3 linked regions of the Drosophila melanogaster genome follow. The protein of the gene in region 1 interacts with the protein of each later gene in a pairwise test. Each region holds a gene or a part of one and is shown in the gene's direction. Other genes may lie near its edges.

The links.
Region 2: the proteins of CG6770 (region 1) and Scp2 interact in a two-hybrid assay, tested with the Drosophila melanogaster proteins (one large-scale study listed by BioGRID).
Region 3: the proteins of CG6770 (region 1) and CG8414 interact in a two-hybrid assay, tested with the Drosophila melanogaster proteins (one large-scale study listed by BioGRID).

What each region holds. Positions count from the first base shown.
Region 1 is NT_033779.5:12,043,027-12,050,231, reverse strand, and holds CG6770 (uncharacterized protein), read left to right. Parts: upstream 1-4,113; 5' UTR 4,114-4,256; coding exon 4,257-4,466; 3' UTR 4,467-4,889; downstream 4,890-7,205. Other genes in the region: PLCXD (Phosphatidylinositol-specific phospholipase C X domain containing), read right to left, coding at 1-136; Plzf (promyelocytic leukemia zinc finger), read left to right, coding at 1,371-1,883, 1,940-2,836.
Region 2 is NT_033777.3:16,578,397-16,586,637, reverse strand, and holds the start of Scp2 (sarcoplasmic calcium-binding protein 2), read left to right. Parts: upstream 1-2,974; 5' UTR 2,975-3,074; intron 3,075-7,490; 5' UTR 7,491-7,590; coding exon 7,591-7,648; intron 7,649-8,241.
Region 3 is NT_033778.4:16,096,539-16,105,816, reverse strand, and holds CG8414 (uncharacterized protein), read left to right. Parts: upstream 1-3,208; 5' UTR 3,209-3,289; coding exon 3,290-3,707; intron 3,708-3,766; coding exon 3,767-3,982; intron 3,983-4,035; coding exon 4,036-6,123; intron 6,124-6,181; coding exon 6,182-6,447; 3' UTR 6,448-6,511; downstream 6,512-9,278. Other genes in the region: Rho1, read right to left, coding at 20-100, 635-784, 2,043-2,198; mRpL34 (mitochondrial ribosomal protein L34), read right to left, coding at 6,516-6,738, 6,802-6,824. UniProt on the Drosophila melanogaster protein: Polynucleotide 5'-kinase involved in rRNA processing.

The sequences.
Region 1 (7,205 bases):
GCTTGCGGGCACTGATGGTCAGCCAAACCTTGAGCGCTTTGGGATTCTCATAGGATTCGGTCTGTGCACGTCCCTCATTCGTCCAGGAGGCGAGGAGCAGCAGCACCAGTGCAAGGCGTAGAACTTTTCCCACCATATCGTTCTGATTGAATTACCCTGCTGATTCGCGGTGATTGCAACTGACGCTAATCGGCGTTCCGGAATCAGAGCAGTAATATAAACACGACACCCCGAGAGATCAGACCAGATCAACCGTTCGCGTCGAGAGCTCCACACTCAATGATCTGCGACCCAGACCCCAAATAACTTGGCACAGGTAGATCTTATCTATGCTATGTGCTGTTTATGGGGGCGCCAGTTATAAAGGAAAATTGGAACCTGGCACGGGGGAGCTTAGCGAGAAAGATATGTGTAAATTAAGCTAAATTTCTATTTACTTTGGGATTCCCAGTAATTAGCCGTTATGCTAACCGAAGGATTAGGTTTCAGCACAATTGCAATGACTGCGTATAAAGAACATTTGACCGCGATTCGAAGCCGATAAGATTTCAAACAATAGTGGGTGGGCAAATTCTCAGCCTATTTATTTGCACTCGACTTTAATTGGCAGTGTAATGTTCGTTGGCCTTTGGTAATTCAGAACACAAACAAATTTGCCGGAGGTTAAGCAAGCGTATTTCCTATAGGAAGCTAAACAATGGATGCGTTATGATTTGATTTAACTCCGCACCGACTAATAAATTAATGCAAAAGCGACCGATCTGTTCGTGTGGCCGACATTCCGAAACCAACGTCTCCTCTCAACTGACGCTCAAATGTTCGAACAGAACTGAGAAGAGCTTATTAAGCGGGCCCTATTATTTGTTTAACTCTTCCAATTTCCCTGCAAGTCGCTGATGTTTGAGTGTCAAAACATAAATAAACAATTCAATTCAACACCCATGACGGTGTTTGATATTCTGTAAAGTTCATTGGCTTTTTTATAGGTTTAAAGTTTTGAAGTTTTGAAAGTTGAAAGTTTTAAAAAGCATTTTTTAAAACCAATTTTTATAATGTTCTAAAGGTTTCTAAGAATCTAAAACAATAAGTTTTAAAAATATCTAATCTTAAAATAACTAAAAATGTGTAAATGTGTGTATGTGCTGACTACATAATAATTAAATAATTAATTAAGTTTTTTAAACAAATATTTAAGAACTGTCTTTTAAATTCCCATTTTTAAAGTAACGGTCGAAAAATACTAGTCAGTATTTTAATACACCGTAGCGCATATTGGTCACACTGTTGAACAGCTGTTTAGCCGTCCTAAAGCAAAACATTTGATTATTTTGTTTATATCGAGTGCTAGTAGCATTATCTAAGCTGCAGAAATGCTGCACTCACAGACAATGCAATCCATACCCACTCTGCACCAGCCGCTACACTCCAAGGTATCGAACTATCTAAACAATCAGCGAAGAACCGGACAATTCTGTGACCTGCTCCTCGAACTGGATTCGGATGATTCCCTCAGCTTAAGCGTCCATTTCTGCGTACTGGCTGCTCAGAGCCAGTTTATAAACTCTAACCAGAAGCAACAGCAGTTCTCCATTCACAATCCGCTGAAGATCACCATCCGTAATTTCAGCTGCACCCAATGCCTGCACACAATTGTGGACTTCTTCTACGAGGATTTGGTGTCCGTGTCCAAGGAGCACGAACTGCATTTTAGGGAGCTAGCGCAAATTTTGGCTGTGACAGAACTACTGAATCTCTACCAGTTGCAGCCCTTGGGCGAGGCGAAGGAAGCAACGGAGATCCCAGCACCTGGAGAGGCGCAACCAAATCCAGATCCAGAAAAGAAAGCGGAGGCTGTGTTTGAGAATCGACAAAGTTACTTCAAGGTGGATAATATGTCATTGAGCCACTGCCGTAACTTATATTCGCCTTTTCCTTAAAGCTTAAGAACCCGCGAGCTGTAAAGTCCAGCAGCAAAGTGAACTACTGCATTGGCTGCGACTTCAAGTGCTATCAGGTACAGAAAATGATCGAGCACATGGGCAGCTGTGAGCCCTCCCATTTGATTTGCTCGCTGTGCGAAGTCGGCTTTCTGGACTGGCGGGAATACGACACTCACCTACGACGGCACTCTGGTGATCTGCGTAAGCCCTTCTTTTGCTTACAGTGCGGCATCCGCTTCAACACACGAGCTGCCCTGCTCGTCCATCAGCCTAAGCATTCCACGGAAACGCCGCACATATGTCCACATTGCGGCAAGGGCTTCAAGTGGAAGCAGGGCCTGAGCAATCACATCCTGGTCCACAATCCCGAGAAGCAAATGCTCTGCGACGTCTGCGGCTATAGCACCACGCACATGAAGGCCCTCAAGTCGCACAAACTGCTTCACACCGGAGAATTCTTTGCGTGCACAGTTTCAGGCTGCAAGCATCGAGCCAATCGCAAGGAGAACCTCAAATTGCACATTGAAACTCACAAACAGGGTCGCGATTTTATCTGCGAGGTCTGTGGCTGCAAGTTCAGCCAGAGCAAAAACCTCAAGCGTCACGCCCTCAAGCACACGGAGAATGGTCCGAACCGCTACAAGTGCCAGCTGTGTGGATTCAGCAGTCATCGCTCCGACAAAATGAAGGAGCACGTGCAGCGGGTTCACACAGAGAAACCGGTGCAGTTGGAGCTCTCGGAAACGGTGGACAGTAGCTTTCCCGATGACTTTGAGCTTCCCGTGATCGAAACGTCACCCAAGAAGAAGCCAAAGAGTGTTAAGAGCAAGACTATAAGGAATGTTAATCCTGACAAGCGACTGAAAACACTACTGCCCAAGGAGACTGTAGAATAGGAATAAAACGGAAGGTTACCCCATTCATAACTTCTCAGAGAAAGAGATTTGTGAGGCAAAGGTCAATAGTAAATATTTAGAATAACTATGTTGAAAAGAGACTGTATCAGCAAGTTTAGAACATTTGCTATATTTACAAAATGAGACGTGGGATCTCTCGTTCTGAGTTCTAGTACAACAAAATTGTATCTAGAATATTCACGGAAACCCAGTTTCTTTTTAAAGCCATTAAAAAAGAACCATCGAGAAATCTAAAGATTGATTTGCTACCAACGAATTGTAAATAAAGTGGTATATTGTGGCAGGTTCTTGAAACAACATTGTTGAGGCCGTTCTATCTTATCTAAGATGGTGACTACGATCTATTGCGTCGTTTGAAGACGAACTTTCAGAACGAATACCTGCCAAATGACTAACTAGAGCGATAGTTAGCACCTTATCAACGCCAGAAGGCTATGTATATATGTATGTACGTAACATTTGTTTATATAAAATCCATTAAACCAAAACAAACTGAAAGCTTTTCGCTATTCAGAAATAAACAAATGCGTTGCCTGGTGGGAGGGAAGTGGGTCAACCGATCAGGTTCTAATGCACCAAAATAAATATCCATTATGAGTATATCTTTTGTAAATCAAAAATGTTATTCGAATTATAATTATTGCTAAATTGTTTCTTGTGCCCTAACATTCAAATATTGTTGAGTGTAAAAAAATAAACAAATTTTGAGCAGTGTATCCAGAACATATGATGCATTTAATTCTATATTTATTGGGTGGAGAAACAAATGCAGGGTAAATGCACTTTGATGGTCGTTTGCGGAGGGCCAAGGTGGGTGTGTGTTATGTAACCACTCAGGAACGTGTGTATGCTTAAAAGTTCTTAAATTATTAAAATAAATGAACAAGGCGAAATAATATGTTTGGCGATTTCAGTTTTTTTGTTTACCGCGCACTTTGTAAACAGCAAAAAATTAAATTGCGCAGCAAAAATTGTCAAGGAGGCACTCTCTTGAGCGCAAAAGGGTTGTCAGGCCCAATAACTATGAATTTTAATAACTAAAAATTCTTTTACATAAAAAAGAGCAAATATATTTTGTAAAAGTTCAGTAGAAAGTTATAGAAAAATTAAATATTTTTAGTAACTACACGTAAGCAACAATTAAATGCCCTTCTAGTAGTTTCTTTAGCTAAATCCGGCAACTCTGACGGAGAGAGAGCTTTGGTTACGGAACAGAAAGCTTGCGCGCCTATAAAAGCCGCTGCTCGACCGAAAAAATTCAATTCCGTTCGCAGCTCAGCGAAAAGTGAACAAAAAAAAGCAGAAGAGAAATTTGGAAAGCAGCCTGCAAGTTTGCAGAGAAACAAAAAGCAGACACCAACCAAGAACGCAGTTAGTTTTGCAACCTTAAATCGCCATTATGTCCGAGGCCCACTTCGATGAGTACGAGCACTACAACTTCGACCATGACAAGCACATCTTCTCTGGACACAGCGGCAAGCAGCGCAACAAGAGGGAGGCCAATGAGCACACCAACCACTTCGATCCCTCCGGTCATTCCCGCAAGATTCTGACCAAGCTGATGAACACCAACAACAACAACAAGAAAGCCGCCGCCTGCAAGAACTGATGCAGGGCATCGACGGAGGCGGTGGAACAGGAGAGAAAGAAGTAACGGGGCCGCGCTGAAAGGAGAAAAGAAATCTTCGAATTTAAAAGGAAAGCAAAAGCAAAGGAGAGAAGAAAAAGAAGAACAAGCAGCAGTTTTGCTGGAAGGAAAGAAAGAAAAACAAAAGCCAGCTGGAAATACACATTGCATTTGTATTGTGCATTGGCTTTTCATGCGGCGCTAAACTTTGTGAACATTATAATAATTTTATTTCGCTTATAATTTCACAAACACAAAAAAAGAAAGGCACATACTACTCTTAGCTTCTAATATATTCCTAAACTAATTCAGACTTGCAAGTTTTAGTTGCTAAGCCTTAGAGCGTTTCAAATAATGAAGTTTGACTTAGGTAATACATATAAAATAAAGAGAAAACCAAAACTGAATAGCCTGGTCGTCTTATTTTCATTTGCATTTGCAGCGCACCTTTCCAAGCGAGAGAGCTTTTTGAATGCCGTTGGTGTGCTGTTGTGCATATTTATAGCCTTTTAGTTGAACTCATTTGCACTCAGCTCCTCGATTATCGCAAAAGCAGTTGCAGTCGACTTTTTTCTTTGTTTACAGCGATCGACCAAAAAGAGAACATGTATGAACATATTTATTTGTGTATGTAATGTATGTATGTTAGTTTGCAAACGGAAATATTCCCGAGACCTTCCATTGAAAGTTCACCAGTTACACAGGTAATTAAACTTGCACACACATATTCCTGCATCATTTCTTCCGGTTTAAATTTGCGTGTAAGGTTGCATTTATGAATATTGCGCCGCTTTTATTGACTTTCAATACTAAACGATATTTTTACATTAGGTGTCCAAAATTACAAAAGCTATGTTATTTTCCACTCACAAACAAACAAGCACACGTACAAAAATAAACCGAACAAACTTTTCCAGAAAGGTCCACTCTAATGGAATTCTCTCCTCTCTCTCGCTCTCTCTCTCTCTATAAACGCCATTTGCCGGCTTTTTGAATTGCGTTGTTGATATTTGGTAAACAATAAAACAGACTCTCGATCAGGTGGTTTTGCTATAATGCATATTAATGAAATTGTTCGAACATATTGACAATTAAAATTCCAAGACTCTTATGTATGTTTAAATTCGCATTTTGGTTAGTCATAAATATTCCTTATCTTCATTAAATAGCATTTCGTCTGAATCATTGATCTATCTAAAAATGTGGTGTTCCAAACTTCAAACAAATAGAAGGTGATGAAAAACCTGTTTTTTTATAAAATTAAACATTGCAATATATTGCGTGTTAAAAGTGCCTTAGAATCGGTTTTTTATTTTTATTAAATGTATTTCTAAATTAAAGATTCGTTAAACTCGCATTACAAAAGTAAAACAAAATCGATAGATAAACATTATCGCCGCGGTTTCAAACAAAGCAATATCAACAAATAAAATTTACAATCGAGCTTTTTAGAGGAAAACAAGCAAGAGGTCTAAAAAACGAGTAAACAATTTTGGGGGTAACGAAACTAGTTTGCCACGCTGCGTTTCGCCGGTAAACATATGACGCATTAATAGTTCAGTAAAGTCTAGAAATCGATAGAAGTTGAGGTCTATACATATTTACATACATACATACATTCATATTTATGTGTATGTAAGATTTGAAGGTAAGATAGTACATCGAATATACATACATACATATGTATACATATGTACATATGTACATATGTACTTCGTGATTGCACTTTTCTAGTTGCGCTCTTAAGATTAAATACTAACTTCATAACATGAGCAATTTTCATTTCATTTCAATTCGCATTAAAGAATAAAATTGTTAACATCGCTTTCTTTTCTAAGATATGAGTTTTAATAGGTGGCTACCTATATGTATCTATATAATAAACTATGATAAGCTCATATGTGTATACAATATTCTAATACGATATCCTTTCTTTTTGGTTACTTTGTGTAGTATACCAATTTCCCAAAAAAAACTGTGTATTAGCATTTTTAAAATGGTGTTGTCTTCAAATTTCGAATCGTTAAGGCGATCTCACCAATGTACAAACACCCCATTGATGTTGACTTAACGTATCTTAATTGTAGAAATAGATTTCTTTTCAACCCCATTAATGAAAGTCGCACGCTTGCCACGATTTGTGTCTAAATATGGGCATGTATGCAGCTTCCTAGATCGTGATCTTCGCCTGGCACACGACCGACGACGGACCTCGATGGCGGCCACTCCACAGGCGTGGATCTTTGTGCTCCAACGGCACAAAGCCATTCCAATTACGATTTCCTAAATTCCATAGTCCATCTTCTGGAAAGAGAATCATATTGCACACTTTCACCGCGAAAAAAAAAAACGAATTTGTGGCGAACAACAAAATCGGGAATTATGCATAACTGAATGGAGAATGGAAGTTAGCATCGGATGGGATGGGATCGTAGTACTGGCTACATTGGTGATATGGATGGTGCTAATTGCCGCGGCACTTGGTGGCTTGGATGAACCGTTAAATCGAAACTGGAGCACTGGCCCAATAACGATGATGCACGCGGCCCGCGGATTAGCACCTTTCAACGAGCCACTACGGATGGATGTTCTAGATACCCAAAAACCCGCCATTAGCACCATTGCCGGGCGGAGTTTTTCTGGCTCAGCATTGGGACATCTTCGGTTAGTTGTCGACTTAACTCCGAGCCAACTGGCCGTGCGGTGTGTGCTGAACCAGGA
Region 2 (8,241 bases), on another chromosome or scaffold:
ATGATTCCTTCGAAACGGCAGTGAGTGCTGCTGCAATGGAGGTAAATGCAATTTGGTTTAAGTTGCCCATGATGGCACACGAGATTTGCATTCGGCATCAGCCAGCTCTATTATATGAAAATACTGCTGAGCGTGTGCTTGATTTTTTACGGAGCTTATCTCGGTGGCATCCACTGGGTGCAAATGGAATTTCATATATGATTCACAAACTTTTCGCTGCTCCAAGATAAATGATTTATTTTCTTCTATTTTTCTTTCCATAGAGTCCAGAGCCGGAGACTCATCCTCGGCTGGGATACAAATGTTTTCATTAAATTCGGTTTGTTTGGTGGTTTCTTTTGTGACCCGCTTTGTTCTCGGTGGCCATTGTGGGGTCCATTGCTGCCATTTGCTACCGGAGGAGGGCCACCCATCTGCCACCACCCACTTTTGTTGCCAAGCTGGAACACTAAACAATACAGCAAAATTACTTAATTTCATGTTGGTCTAATCAAGTTGCCATTGCCGAGCAGGTAAGCGACGAGTGTGTGGCTGGCTGGCACGGAACGTCCTCCGCACAAAGGTGGCCAGCGGGAGCTGGAGCAGCTGAACCATATGCGGGGGAGGAGGGCAGCTGAGGGTCCTGGGTGGCAGCCCTGCTGTACTCAAATAATTTGCCGTTACCGTGCACCTTTAATGTGCCTACACTTTAAGGATTTTACAATTACCATTAAAAATATTAATTAGTTTTCAAGTTTTAATTTACGTATTTTACATTTACTACTAAAAGGAAGGAAAGAAACTTTTCTGTTGATTTGGAGGGGTATTTAATATATTTAAAAGTGGGATAAAACATAACGATGAATTTATTGATTCTTAAGTCATATTGCCAATGTACCAATTGTGATTTTTACTCCCATACAATTTGACCCACTGTTATATATTCATAATCATATAGCCTTTTACTGTTGTTTTGCTAGTTGCTCGACTGGGTTTTTGGAGCAACTTTTCTCAGTGTACTTCGTCCGCTCGTGTGTGAGCCACAACGGAACGTTTAGTGGTCCCACTTATGCGGCGGAGCAAAATGAAGGGAAGAGGCGATGCAGCAGACGTGGAATGGAAGCCCAAAAACAAAAAAAAAAAAACTACATGAAATAGGTGGACAGCTAAACGTTGTGAAATGGGGCCAAACGCTAGAAGGCATTCAAGATTTTAGTGGGTCTTTGGCCAGGCTCATGTTAATTTCAAACTGTGTCAATGTCGGCTTCCGTTTCCTGCACACACACACAGGACGTAGCCTTTGGCCACTTGAGATGCAAAGAGGTAAAAAGGCCACAAATTTAAACATTTGCCCACTCCAACACGCACCGTCGCTCCCACACACACACACACACACTTACAAAAAGAAATCAAGGTGGCCGGAACGAAACATTGGTAAAACGGTCATCTGCAATAAGCATCAGCTGCTGCTGGAACAGCGTGAAAGTGGAACAAGCAGAGGCTGCAGGACACCCGCTGGGCGAGAAGCACAGGATGTGGGCCAAAAAGGCACGGGGAGCCTGCTCCTGAGGCGCTTGATAAATTGGTAGCGACATTTCAGCCGAAACTTGACAATTAACAGCTGAAATACATGAGCTGTATATGTCTGCTTTGTGTAATTAAAAACCCAGCAGACAGCCTGGAAATTGCTTGGCCAAAATGCTTTCATTTTTTTTTCGGTTCTAGCCACTTTCGTCGGTTGGTGGTCCACTCTTGGACAAGATTGAATGCGCCAACAGAAATTATGCCGCCAAGTGTGCCTTATATTGCTGCTACTGCTGCTCTTGCAGCAGCTGTTTTGGCTGCCTTCTTCTTTGGGCCAAATTAACTTTAGCCAAGTTGAGTCCACAGCCAGCCTATGTGTTTGTGTGTGTCCGTGTTGCCTTCTTTTAAGGGAGAGCATGCCTGTGTGAGTGCTTCAGTTTATTGTGTGTGTGTCAAGGCTATGCTAAAAATTTGTCCAGAACATTTGCACATTTTGATTTGTTATGTTGTGGTGCACTGCAAACAATGTCGATGTATTTGGGTGGATGCTGTACGAGTATTATGTTGTATTGGGTCTCATCTACATCATCGTGATCATAATGTGCTGTTAGCAAAACTCAATTTCTTTTAAATCCTTTGGGGTTTATTTGCCAAGTTGTAATTAATTGAATTATTTCCCAGAAGAAATTATTATGTTGATTTATCTTCGAGTATACGTTTGCTGTATTATGGGGAGCGTGCTATAGTTTATTGGTAAATTAGTAATTTATGTTGACTAATAGATTGCCTCCTTTTCGGCTTTATCATTGTTTTTGTGCAGCTTAGACTTTGCTTCTTCGATGGAACAAAGTTTTGCGATAAAAGGGCGATCAACGTTTAAAGTTGGCTTAGGAAAACCTCTAGAACAGTTCTAAATTTTGGTAGTAACTAAACGAGAAAGCCAGCACACATCCCTCAGTGTCTTTTTGGCCACCCGAGGCGTCGTAACCCCTGAGCCCAACATTGTATGCGAATGCCGCTCCGATAAGACGTGCCATTTAATTACCAAAATATAAAGTGCATTCCGGCTACCAGAGCGCCCAGCATGGAGTTTTCTGCGAGTGTCAAATCCCAAAACAAACCCACGAGCAAATATGCCGCATGCTGATGACGACGGCGATGCCGATGTTCGGCTCGTAACAGTGCACGTGGTGGCCAAAAAGCACGCTACATGCACTACATCTACTCATACACTTACTCACACACGCACACACACACACACACACACACACAGGCTCGTGTCGGGTGCAGCACTCACTCACACCATGACGAGTGCAGAGGCGTCGGCAGAGTCGACCGAGACGGCGACTGCGATAAGATAAAGCCCCTGCGATGACATAGAGCACCCAGAGCGCTCGAGTTCTGCCGACGCTGGCAGAGATGGCGGCGCAGACGAGTAGCGCATATAAAAGCCGCTGACTCGATGGCAACGAGCATCACAAGACGGCCAACCGCGCTGCCGAGCAGACGAGTCCAGTTCGAGAGGGTACCAAAATTTAATCAGAAAGTGTAGAGTCAGTTTAGAAGCAACGGTAAAGTTAACGTCTATCTCTGTGTGTGAGTGTGTGTGTGTGTGCGAGTGCTAGTGCTAGTGCACCTGTGTTTGTGCTGAGAGTTTCCGCTACAAGAATAATAATGCCGCAACATTTTTCGAAAAAGCCCATTTCCAAAACCGACAAAAGAACAAGCCAAAAGTAACGAGCACAAGTGGGTGGCTCAAAGAGCTGCGAGGCTCAACAGGAACCAGAGCCCCAGTTTTCCTTGAGTGGGCAGATAGTTTGTGAAAGAAAGGTGGGGGTAGGGTATGCTGGAGGTACTTTTGCAAAAAACACAACCAACCTCTCGACAATTTAACAACTGGAAGAATATTCTTACTTCGCCCCACCTTGGTCAGGGCCATAATGAATTCATTGAAAGCGTGGCCAAAGTTTTGCTCTGGCCAAGCCAAGGAGAAGCGAACGCTGCCGCTCTAAGGATCCTCGTCCTGTCAGTCAGTCAGTCAGTCAGCCAGCCTGTGTCTGTTTTTTCGGTCCTGTTGTTTGGCCAGGCATGCGTCGGTGGCCTTAGGCCGCTCATTGTGAGCTCCTTGGCTCCACAGCTCCTCGGTGGCTGCAAATTGTAAATTGTAAAACTGTAAATTGTCAAACTGTAAATTAATGCAAATTACACGAAATTACTGCGAACCGGACAATGCAACAAAAGGCAAATAGTGGACGCGGAATACGGCGGACAGTGGACAGCGGACCACGGACAATTCCCGGAGCTGCATCAGCAGATAAAGAGCAAACGGCGACGCCACTTGCATTGTCTATTATTTTAAATTGGCTGCGCAAATTTACGGCAGCGCAAAAGTAATTAGCGACGGTTGAAAACTGTGCCATCGTCCAACTCGAATTGAGAATGAAGATGGGTGAGAATTGGAAAAGCGATTGGGTCATCTGGTCATCGGGGGGATTAGGCTGCTGCTGGGATCAGCAAACCGAGTTGTAGATTCCCTGCCAATGGCAGGCCAAATACGTATTCCACTGTCCAATTTGCATGCTGATGCAATCAAAACTACTACAATTTGTCCAGAAAATCGATCAATCGCATGTCTGACAGAGTGTAGCATACTTTTCAGCACTGCCTAACATTTGTCAGCTATCTGCATTTTTTTCGGACCCCATCCCACATTTTATTCTCTAATAATTTATGAGCTTCCTGCCTGCCCTCGCCTGTCGGGAATTCAGATTTTGCATAATAAACACATTGCAGCCCAAACCAAAAAACAAGAACCAGTTTATGCAAATCAAATTGTGTTGATAAACGAGTGGTAGGGTGTTCTCTAATTTGATTGCCCAATAAATTGCTGTATCGAATGAAACCATTTCGCATCTCGCGCGCCGATACTAAAAAAGCAATTAAAGCATTGATGTCTTCATATTGAAATTTATAACTTCACAGATGGCTATTAATTGCCGGAGAGGAGATAAAAGTCTGGGATTTCCGCCATATTTCCATTATTAGAAACTCGTTGCTGCGCTGCATGGCCCGAAAAATGAAAGCGAAACTCAAACAGAACCCAATTAACGAGCCTTCGGCGGTGATGTTGGTTAATGTGGTTGCCTCGTGCCACAAAAGCCGACGCAGTTTTGTGGCAAACAGCGCGTGGCTTTTATGCATTGGCGCATGAGTATTGGTAATTAATGGGAAGGCGGCGGCACAAATGACCGTGCCACAGCGACAAACAAACTTCCGCGCCACACGGCGTATGCGTAATGTGCTCGGCGCCCTACAAAGCGGAACCCAGCGGAAAACTGAAAAACAAATGACATCGATGAATTCAATTTGCGCGCATATTTAATTATTAAATGCGAGGATAAATAATACGCACATCAGGCTATTAAAAGGCTTTAAATTTCCACGGCCATTTCCCGTAGCCATTTCGAAAGTGCTACTGAAATGTGATTTCACTGCATTGCAATGCATTGGCTAGCAGGCTCGTAGATTATCCAGTCGAACTTAATCCCGTTTCCAATTGACCTGGAACAAGCAGACCATTTATATCACCTTTTATATATATTTATTTGCATTGATAAACTTATAAACATATAAAGATTTATGCTAGGAGAGAATATATCAGAATATAACAGAACTAAATAGTATGAATATTTTTGGATGAATATTATTGGCTCCAAACTGTTGTATGAAAACGGTTTCATTTGTCTTAAACGACGAACAAATTTCACAAGTGGTCTCATATTGATTTGTATTTTCCCGTATAAAAACATTAATTTCCTTATGCCCCTGGCTACGTGATTGTATTTCAGTTGAAAAGCACTTTTCATTCCCTTCTGGAAAGAAACTCACGGAATTGCAATTGCCAATGGAGATGGAAAGGGCGCCAAATTGAATATTACACTTTTTGTGTACTTTTAGCCAGTTGAGATGTGGATTATTTTTTCAGCATTCATTTTTTATTTTAACCAACATACTACCACTCCAATTTCACCTGATGTTAATTGAGGCGCACGTGGGAAATTAATGAACTGTGACAGTCTGATTTTTGCGCGCAAATGTGTGTGCATTAAATGCTAAATGAAGTTGACATCGGCTGCCGCATTGTTTGAGGCCATCGTTAATTTATTAATTAAACAAGCGATTTAACCTATTGCAATAATTGTCAAAATTAACCTTTATGACAGCGAAATTTGTGAATTCAATTAACATTGCCAAAGTCAGCTTTGCACAAGATTAATCGTTCTAAGGGAAAATGGAAGGAGGGCTTATGCAGCTTATGAATTTTTGCAATATACAGCATTATGAATACTGGGCCAGATTATTTTTTAATTTATTTTGACTCTTAACTTTTGACCTTGCTATGACATAATTTTAAATAAAATGTGGGTAATATTGTTGATTTTATTCCGTTTTTCATAAATTGTAATTGAACTAATCCACTTTTAAGCCAGCACTCACCTGCACTTCAGATGCCCGAAGGCAATAGAACCAATATTGATAATTCTTCCATTAGAATAACAATTTCCCCACCATTTTCTTGCATGTTTCAGCCCTGACTTGGCTTACAAACGGCAACCTTTTCGCCATAATAATATAATAATATTATCTTTAGTAAGAGTCAAATTTACGCGCACTTGACCAGAAACCTTTACGCCGTTCCTAGATCGGATGTCTTATTTGAATTTGCCTCTTGCCAATTCGATAAGCTCGACTCGGAGAAATTCTATTTAATTCCATTTCCGAGACAAACTGCATTTTTGCCAAACGGAAGTGGTCCGCTTTTAGCCATCAGCCATCAGGCATCAGCCGTTGGCCATCGACGCTGTCTTGGCCATCCCGGCATCCTCGTTGCCGTTACCGTTGCCGTTGTCATGTTCATTGCATTCCACTTTCCACTTGACATCCTCGCTGCAATTTCCCTCTGTTGTGGAATTATGCTTTGGCTACCTTAGCGGCTCCTAGCTGAGCGAAACAAACACCAGTTTCTGGGGTAAGGGATACCCGAAATGAACTAAGGCAAATATTTACTAGGCTTGTACAATGACTTAAGCCTCTTCCAAATAAAGATAGTGAACATGAACGATGCGTTTTGTTCTGCCTTTAAATTCTATTCGGGAGATGTATTTTATTACATATAGTTTATACGTTATATTTCTTTCAATTTCTTCAATCCGATAGGGTTCTGGCAAAGCACTCGGCACTCGATTTAAAGTCCCTTGAGACTCGCGTAACGCCACCCATAAACGCTGTGAATATGAGGTACTCTTTTAGAGGCAGTTAATGCAAACACGAAGGCTTTCACAGGCTTTCAGCTTTGAGCGCTGGCAATGGCCCGGTCTGGTCTTTTGATGTTTGGGGGCCTGTTTACTGCGTCTGCACTGCCAAGATACATTCCACAATGCATGCATGCATATATAGTTCTGTCTAATTTAGCACATGGCCCTGCCTTGCAACTGGCTTCTGATTGAAGGTTAAATGAGCCATGAGCCCCACAAACACACACATAAGCATACACTCGCACGCTCGCAAAGGGGGCGGGGCTGGGGGCTGTCTGAGGCAAAGCCATTGCATTTGTGTCGCTTTTAGCTCGGCACTCGACCCGCCTCTTTTCCCCCAGGATGCATTTGCATTGCGCACAACAGCGCTTTCGCTCTTTTCGCATCCTTAGACAGTCCTGTTTTATTTCCTTTGCCCGAATTAGCTGGCATAAACCAAGCCAGTCAACTAGAGCTAACCCAATCCGTTTTCCTGCTGCCCCTGGTTCTATTCTGCTAGTTTTGGTTTTAATATTTTTTTTCTTCCTAGACTGTTATTTTTACGAGGCAGCACCACCCCTAATTGAGAAAGAACTTTAAATTTAAACGCAGCCTTGTTTCCGAATACTCTTCATTTGCCATTTTCTGCCATCGACGATGTCCGTTTAATTGTATTTTTCATTGTCATTGCAGTTCCCCATTTCCGGTTGCAACTGTGGTGAGCCAATATAAGCTCAATAAAGAAAACAACCAGCGGTAAATCAAACACACAAAAAAAAAAACCAACACAATAATGTCGATCTCCGATTTCCGCAAAAAGAAGCTGCTTTTTCTGTTCAATGTGTTCTTTGGTGAGTATTTATCAGAATGAAGAATGACCGATGTGGAAAAAAGGAGTTGCAAGTCGCAAACCGCACGTGACGTCCATTTTAAGGGGAAAATCCCAGTCATGGGACGGGAAAACTTTGATTAGGTTGGAGCCGAAGTGGAGGAGTCGGCTTTAATAGGAGTGTAAAACACGGCCAAGATATTATGAGAATTTCTATAATAAAATCGCAACGTGAATGACAGACATAAGCGTGACGTTCACTTTCGATTTAAGCACCACCATATGTGCTGTGAAAAACAACGCGTATACGTAATGTGGTCCTATTGCATCGCGTATACGTAAGTGCTTGAAATCCACTTAAATACGTGGAGTGTATTCCGTTCCATGTTTAATGCACAGGAGTGTTTGCCTGTCAGGGAAGTCAAACAAAACTTGCCAATTTAAAATTAATTTAAACGCAATGCAAATGTCGAAGGAACAACTTTCGTGGAGAGCTCACGAAAGTAGGCAACACTGTGTGTGATAAAGCTTAAGTGCATTTCAATTATGACTAATTCACCGGTGCGGTGCGGTTCTCTCATCCCTTGATTCCCATCCACAAAATGTTCTCTGCTA
Region 3 (9,278 bases), on another chromosome or scaffold:
CAACAGCGCGTATACGTACCCGAATTGTGTTGGGATCATTTCGCAAATCTTTCTTATTTCCTACCAAAATGATTGGAACATTTGGACAAAAGTGTTTGACCTGCAATAATGTAGTAAGGATTAGTATCATATTTTGATATCAGATTCCATATAGTCGAACTGCAAAAACAAGTAATTCGTAATTGGGAACCACTTACTTTCTTCTTATCTATATCTATCATTATAAATTAAAGGCTGAGAAGTAAGGAAATGATTCAGAAAGTCAAAGCAAATTGGCTCATAGCAGACTATTTTTAGTGATTAAACTAGAAATAACCAACAATTCTATTAAACTTTCCTCGTTCTAAACCAAAACCAGTCTTTCAGATAGCTTCAATGACATAAACAAGAACACAGAGATGCATAGTCTTAAAGATTCCATATCATAAGCAAATGCATTCGATAACTTCAAAAATGTTTAATATATTTTAACTGGAGTTAAAAGTTCAACTTTTTCCAAATTTGCATCATTACATAAAAATTAAAAACATATTTTGTCTAGACTTGTTAGTTCCGTATAGTATATATATATATAGTACCATACTTGTTTACGATCGTCTGATAGAAACTGTTCTGTAATTCCAGTTAAACTCACCTCTGGGGTCCATTTTTCAGGAATATTTTCTAGCGAATCGGGTGAATCCACTGAGAAACACATCAGTATGACGTCAGTGTCGGGATAGCTCAGCGGTCGTAGTCTGTCGTAGTCCTCCTGCCCGGCCGTATCCCACAAGGCCAGCTCCACCTGGAGAATCGGATGCGGATTATGATTGAGAGTTACGCTTGCAGTTGCGGTGTCGTCAGGGTTATAGATAGATGGGGCTTTTTGTGGCACGGGACGGTGCGATGCGGGCTCGGAGGAGAATGGGACAAGTTCGAGTTGAAGATAGCATGAGTGCGAGTACGAGAGTGTGAGCAAGGAACTTGACGGAAATGCCAAACGAATTAATCACATCGAAGCGAGGCGAAGTGGAATGACGTGAACTTGTGTGTATGTAAACGCTATCCAAACAGAAACACAAACAGAAACTGAAAATTGAAAACCCGCCATATTGCGCAGCAAAGGCAAACACACAGTGTTTATTTCGAAAAAAAGCGCCTGAAAATACTGTAGATCCCAAATGGAATATATGAACGAACATATAGCCAAATCATGACTTGATGCCCCAATGGAAAACGCACATTACATTCCATAGAGTAAGGGAGTGCGCGGTGGAGCGGGAGAGCGCTCCCCCCCCTTAGAAGAGAGTACAGGTAGGCAGGGAGAAAGAGTAAGAGTGAGAGCGCCCGAGAGAGCAGCAGAAAGAGCGGGGGGCGGCGCAACGCATTAAACTGTATGTGCGCAACGGACTTGTATAAGACAAATACAAAATAAAAAGAAAAGAAAACGAGCGGAAGGAAGGGAGCAGCACTACTTCTGTGTGTGTGTGTGTGCTGCCAACTCTCTGTTGAGCATGTGTGCGTGTAAGTGTGGGGAAATGTGCCCAAGTGTGACTTAATCACTGCTATCAAAACTTTGAATTCTTCGGAAAAATCCAAATTTGCACTCCACTTAACCAAAAATGATCTTAATTTTTCTTTTGCTTTTCCAGACACCTTTATTTATGGATGCGTCTGTGGGCATGAGGCGATATTGACTCATTTCATTTTACAGGCGAAGAAAAGGAAATACAACGACCAAGGTGTGGGTGAAGTTGTGGGTGGCACAAACAAGAGAACAATAAACACACACCCATGGGAACACACACCCGCACACACACACACACACACACACACACACACAGAGGCGGGTGGAAAGTGTAAGGAGGATACGCGCACTTGAAAAACGGAATGAATTGAGAATGCACACAAATTATAAAACGAGATCAGACGATTATCACTTGGATGGCAGGGTGGGGTTATCAGGGGAGGGGGGTCAGCCACCGGTTGGGGGTGGCATTCAGAGTGGTGGACGGGACGGGTAGTTAGGGGAGGGGCGGGCCTGTCCGGGAAAAGGGGCTTACCTGTTTGCCATCCACCTCGATGTCGGCCACATAATTCTCGAATACGGTGGGCACATAGACCTCGGGGAACTGATCTTTGCTGAAGACAATCAGAAGGCAAGTTTTACCGCAGGCACCGTCGCCGACAATTACCAATTTCTTGCGAATCGTCGTCATTGGAAGTTCTGCAAAAGGCAAAATCAAACTGTAGCTAGATGCAATGCAAGTGCAGCGGATGCCCGAGGATTCCGAGTCCGATTCTGAATCCGAATACAATTTTCGATTCCGAATCCGAGTCAGCCGTTCTGTTTTATATATTCGCGAAAACTGAACGAGCGCCTGTTCAAAAAATTATCAAAATGAAAAAGCCACACACACACTCGCATACAGTCACACGCACACTGGTGGACACACAGCACAAATACACTCGCGCGCTCGCTCTCTTTTCCGATAGCCCTCTCCCGCTCGCGCACACACTTAGTCATACTTGCGGCTGGACGGCGATCTAATAGTATAAAGTGTGGGGTTCTTTCTTATCTGGCCATTGTCCATTGTCCGTTAGCCGAGTTTTTCCCGTTTTTCTTTACGGTTTTTCGCATTCGCATTTTCATTTTGGTCGCGTCATAGGGCCGCCCGCTTCTCCACCCCTCTCTCCAACACTCCAGGAAACTCCTCTCTCCGCGCCCGTCCCGCTCACACTTTATTCCAAAAACATCTCATCATCCACTCTCGGTATGGCTGTGTGTGTGTGTGTGTGCGTGTGTCTGTTCGCCTCTGGCTGGGCGTGCGTGCATTTGTGTGCGTGCTGTGTGGAATTTTTTCACTTCTGCTCTTTCGGCCACTTACAATTTATATTGGTGATTTCACAACACTCAGCACGAATTCGACACTTAATTTGCTTACAAAATGGCACAAATTTGTTGATTCTTATGCGTCTACCGTTTAGCTATATCGTATAAAAGTTAATGCAATTACAAAAATTCGAATTGAACTCGACGATTTTTTCCCATGCAAAATGACGATGAACAATGTTCATCCGTTTCATTTCTCGGTAGCGGGATGAACGCTCGATGACCAACCAACGCCTTCGAGCGCAGGGCTGTTATTAACCCAATCGATAGTTCTCATCGATGGCAACTCTGTGCGCGTTATTCCCATGACCGACCACGACTGGTAACACCGCACATATGTTATTCTTGCTCTTCTTCTTAAATTTGCGGTCGCATGGCCCGGGAAGTATTGGTAGTTCAGCAAAAAACTGAAAAGGAATGCTTGACGAACATATTCTGAAAGAAATGAAACTGAGCTTCCAGCTCACCGAACAGCGAGAACTAGCCTCTGGTCGCCGTAAGCCGGAAAAACCACAACACCCACCTGCTGTTCCAAAGAAAAAAGTTATTTCAAAGGTGGCCAGCAATCCTGCAAAGATTTCGGAAACAATGATTCAAAAAGCCCAGATGGAGTCGCCCAAAAAATCCAAGAAAAATAAGACAGCCGGCGCAAAGAGACCTCTTTCCAATAATGTGTCGAATCCAGACAGTTCACCATCCCAGAAGAGGCTTAAAAAGGATAATACCCTACCCAAAAAGAATCCTGTAAATAAATCCTCAAATGTTGCAGCTAAAAAATCTGCAGCAACAAGCAAAAGTGCTAAGCTTCCTATTCCCAAGGTTCATAGTATAAATGGTATGCATTAGATCCAGAATTACAACCTCATTTTATTTTAATATATATGTATTTTTCAGAATTAGCTCCTAAGAAAACCAAAGTCAAGACGCCAAATAAAACAAAAGAAGCAAGTTTATCTAAGAAACATAAGGTAAATGGAAACAAGAGCTCAATGAAGGTCGTACAAAATGGTAAAGTAGTAGAGATAATTGGTACTGCAGCGGAAACAAGTGACATTGAAATGAATTCATTGGATGATTGGAGTGAAGAAGACGATTATTTAATTGAAAGTGGTAAGGAATTTTTAATATTACTCTTGTTTCTTAACTTAAACTATGTTTTTTAGACTCTGAAAACGATGTAGTTGAAGAAATAGACGAGACATTTCTTAAAGATCCAAAGATTTTTAAGGTCAAATGCAAAGGCCCCGAATACAAGTTATCAGATATTCTTCCTCCTTTTGAACACGATGAATACCAACCTCTTTTGTTGGATGGGGATGGCAGTGGAACAGTTCGAAAGATTAAGGTATTTAAAAGTGCACAGGAAGAAACTGACAGCGACGAAGATGACATTGATTATGAGCCAGAAGATAGCGATGACTTTGGATCGGAGGAATTTGACAGCGAAGAGTCTGACAGTGAAGACACAAGCAGCGCAGACTATGATAGTGATGGAGATTTCTACAGTGAATATAGCGATATGGAGGATGTTAGTGACAGCGATAGTGAAGAATTCGGAAGCGATATCTTCGACACCGACGACCTCGATTCAACTTATGAGCCACCTGACATTGAGGGATTCTTCGATCATCCACCTGTGGGTATGCAAAGAGAGCCGCTTATTATAGAGGAAATCTTCGACGATCCGCCTGTGGAAAAAAAGCAAGAACGTATTGAACAGTCAAGTGTTATGGATATTGTTGTAAAAAACTTAAGCAGTGTGCCCCCAAAGAAGGAGTCTGAAGTTGCAATTGAAACCGAAGAGAATGATGAGGTATCACTGCCTGAAGTTGTAACACCAGAAAAGGAAAATTATCTCCAACCAAGCGATGTCCCGTTTTACAGAAATCCGCAAGCGAATCCCACTGAGCTTAGCGTCTTTGAGAACAGTCTGAAGAGCAATCATGTGCTGGCCGTGATTAAGGAGGACCTCGAAGTTTATGGCACACTAGTGTTGACTCTACTCTGTGGTCAAATATCAGTAAATGGTTACAGAGCACGCAGGCAGGAAGCAATCACAATTTATTCTCCTAAAGGCCTTAATTGGGTATCTATTTCGCCAACCAAGACTAAAAAACCTGTAAAAGATGAGGTAAATTGGGAAGAACTCAACAAGAACTTTACACGCGCCCAGCTAGACAGGATTAAGACCAGCTTTCAGCGTCAGACGAATGCAATAGTACTGCTCCACCGAAACACAAGTGCCCAGCAGCTCGTCGATACCTTTGGCAAGCACATGGCGCAAAATGTATTCCCACTTGTCAATTCTTCCAATCGACCATTTGGCCAAAGTGAAACCCTGTTGCACTGTCTGATTCAATCGAGCGATCAAAGTCGCACTCTCCAAGTTCCGCAGGTTTGGAATAAGTTACAAATGCATGCAACGAGCCGAATAATCGTAGCCGGTGGTAAGGGCGTCGGAAAGTCTAGTTTATTGCGTTACCTCATCAACCGAAATCTGGGTCAATTCCCATCCATGCTGCTCATCGACCTGGACATTGGTCAGCCGGAAATATTTGTACCCCAGACTATTTCTTGCACCGTAATTGATGAGCCCCTTCTGGGACCGGGCTTCCTGTACAACAGGCAGCCGGAACATGCCATTGTCGTGGGCCACACCAACATTGTCTTGTGCGCAGAGCAGTATGCCCGAGCAGTTATTCAGCTAGTCCAAAACATTCAGAACGATGCCAAGTATTCAAATATTCCTTGGCTGATAAATACGATGGGCTATAATAAGGGATTTGGTATCGAATTGATGGCTCTGCTGGTGGATCGCATTCGTCCCACGGATCTTGTACAGATTGCCAGTCCCATTCCAATCAATAACTTTGATTCTGTCCTCGACCGGAACAGTCTGTCGCAGATAAAACCAATTATATACTCTGCGGAGGAGTTCAAGATCAATGAAATACCAAAATACACACTCCATAAGCTGATAAGTGCAGTGCCTGCAAGGGAAAAAGGAACTTGGAGTCTCAGCGCCAAGGACATGCGGTACTCCAATCTTCTGGCACGTCTCAGTTCCTGCCTGACTGGAAATGCCAAATCTCTTACAGACTGCCAGCCGTTGGGAGTGTCTTTGGAATCCCTGAAAATCCTGCATCCCACCAGCAAGAATTACTCGCGCGAAGAACTGATTCGAGGCATGGAGGCTAATGTAGTATATCTGTGCCATCACGGAGCAGGTCTGCCCCAATGTTTGGGAATAGGTTTGTACACATTCACGTTCTTTTGTGGCTTATTAATTGAATTCCAAAATTCTTTTAGGTGTGGTTCGCGCCATCGACTACGAGCGCAAGGAGTTATACCTGGTGCCAGCAATGCCGCTACAAAAGATGTCCCTGGTGGATTGTCTTATCCTCGGCGGGGAACAGTCCCTGCCGCAGGGCTTCCTTCGGGATCAGGGCCAAGGTGTGTCCAGCAGTGTGCCCTTCGTGTTCATCCTTGACGATTCGAAATCTTCGAAGAGTATTCAGCAGATCTACCATCGAGCGCCAGCCTTTCTGGGAGTACCAGCGAATCAACGAAACTAAAACTGAGCTTACTGTAGCAATCGCAATCGGATAACATTGTAAATAAAGTTAGGTTTATTAACACAAGGCTAGTGTGACAAATTGTGACGTCCTTTGAGGATCCGGTTCATCAGCACTCGTCGTCCCTCAGGCGTCGACATCCTAGCATTCCAGCCGTGGACATTAATTCTCTTCACCTCCATGGGTTTCGGAAAATGGCAGCGTACTTTCGGTTTCAGCACCGCCCGGTTGAAAGCGTGCTTATCCCGCACGATTAGAGTTTGTGCGGTGCTGACAACCGCCAGGCAGGTCCTGCAATGCCAATGTATGTTATTATACCACTCAAAATAAATGGTATATTCATTATTTACTCGCCTTTGGAGCATTCCTTGCAGCATGTTAAGTAATTTCCAGTTAGTATGACCGCATGAAGTCCGAATAATACCGCCTGAACAGCCGGTAAGCCGCTTTGGCGTTGCCAGACCATTGGGTTCGAAATTTCGAACTTAGCTGCATGCTATTTTACGTTAGCATGTAAAATGCATTACATATAGATGGAATCATACAATTAATCTAAAAAATCGTCATAATATTGGTCAAATGGAAAACCACCATATGGGGACAAATTAGATAAACCGCTTTTAATTGAATGGATCTGAAAGTAACCGAAAACTTTTTAAATATGGAATGAATATGTTTGGTTGTACATATATCGAATTGGTATTGTGCCATCTCTAGCTACCCACGATGGTTGTGGCAGCGCAGCTGTTGCAAATGAATCCACAAGATACATTTCGGTATATTTTCCGCAACGGATTCTTTTCCACCCTCAGTTGCGGTCACACTGCCTAGCCAACAACAACCACAACTCGGTGCCGTTAGGGCTGCGTTTGTTTTCTGCTCCCATTCAGCTGCATAGAAAAGAAAGAAAAGTGAAAAGTGTTCGGAAAACAGGCAGCATGTGAAGCATAATTACTCCACGGAATTACTATCTCAAACGAAATAGTTGTCGCCGAAAAGAAGTGCGTAAAATCGCGAGTGAGCTCGTGAAAATAGAATAAAAAAGCGCTCTGCAATTGAAGAGAAACATTGCTGCAGTCGTGTGTACGTGCGTGTGTTTGTGCGTGCGAGTGTGAGTGTCGCTCTCTGGACGCAATTTCTTTGGCCAAAAGAGTGGGGAAGTGGGGCAGGAGAGTCCCGAATCGAATCCCCGAAACAGGCAATCCGAATCCGAATCCGGTGCATTAAAAATAGCGCAACGAGGTGAGTAAAGATGCAAACTGCAGCATTCAGTTCACGAGCTGATGCCAACAAAAAGAACTCCAATTAGCCATGTCTGCAGCCAGCCAAAAAAATAATGAAGAACGGCAGAAAAAATACAACAAGAAAATCGATTTTCCTGAACTTACAATTTTCTCCGCCTCACTGGGCAAAAGGGGGGGCGAAATGGAGCTTGGGGAGCCGGCTACGGCTCCATAAAGTATACATAAATTGAATTTCGAAACACGGAAGCGAAATGGATGCACTGGACGAAATAATGAATAAATTATTTTGATATCGAAAAGTTATTCTCGTTAGAAAAAGTTTCGCTGAGGGTCTCGAACGCAGTCTGTTTTTATAAAAGCATATTATTTAGCCTTATCAAGCAAGAGGATGAATAAAATTGCATTAAAATGTATTTCGACTAAATTTCGACTTGCTATACTTTATTTCTCTGCGTGTAAAAGGGGGCAGGAGGCTGCACACGGCTGTTGTTCTTGTTTTGTTTGCTGGTGTGGATGATGATGGAAATACTTGCATATGTGTGTGCGTTCTGCACAGAGGGAGATGTAAAAATTGAAAAATCTGACCAGAAGCAGGACCCTCCGACTTTTGGTCCAGTTGTCATGGCCACCGCACTTAACAAATGATTTTAGCGGCCACTTTTTCCCGGATGCGAATGGGGCAGCTGTCACTCCGTTTGCCTCCTCCTCCTTTTCTCCTTTTTCTGATTTCATCTGTCTGCCCCTTTCTATCTTGCTCTCTCCCCGTGTTCTCCAACGTGTGTGTGTGTGTGTGCGTATTTTGATGACGGCACTCAGTTTCCGCCCGCACTGTGATTTTTGGCCATACACGGCACCAATGTTTCAGTACAGTGGAACCTGGTGCGCAGGAACCAAATGAAGTTAAGTTTAAAACTGCATTTACTGCGACCATTTATGAAATTTTTTAAATGAGTTACATTTCAGGTTCTTCTAGATTTGTTTTAATGTGAGTAAACAATTTCTGCTTTAAAACGTAAAACTCACATGTACATAATATACAATTGTTGGCAAAGCAATAAAAACTTATTACTACCATAAAAATAAATAGGTCGACATTTTCAGACGCAAGAACGCATAGAATGTGTGAACAATACGTACAATAGCTTATTGACACAATATTTAGCATTCAGCGGATTAACTCATCAACGTTGGTTTTTGATTGAATGTGTTATATTATCTATTTATGTACATATTATATTATATAATATTTCGGCATAGGCTTTAACTAACTTTATGCTTGCCACTGTTTAAACTGGCTTGGTTTATCATACGTTTTTCCCAATTCGCGAGTGCCTACTGTAGAAAATCCCCGGCATTACCACTCAGTTTTCGGCACTCTTTTGCGGATGCTGCGTACGCAAAAAGGGGACGTCGGCTGTTCTAAGAGGACTAGATGTTTCCTTTTCACTTCCGCCAGCACCCCTAAATTACGTGTCTCTGTGTGAGTGTCTCTGCACGTGTGTGTGTTGCGTGCAAGTGTGTTTGTGTGTGTGGGCCAACAAAATTACTTTTACGAGCATTTAGCATAGGTTGTTGTCCCTTCGCCCA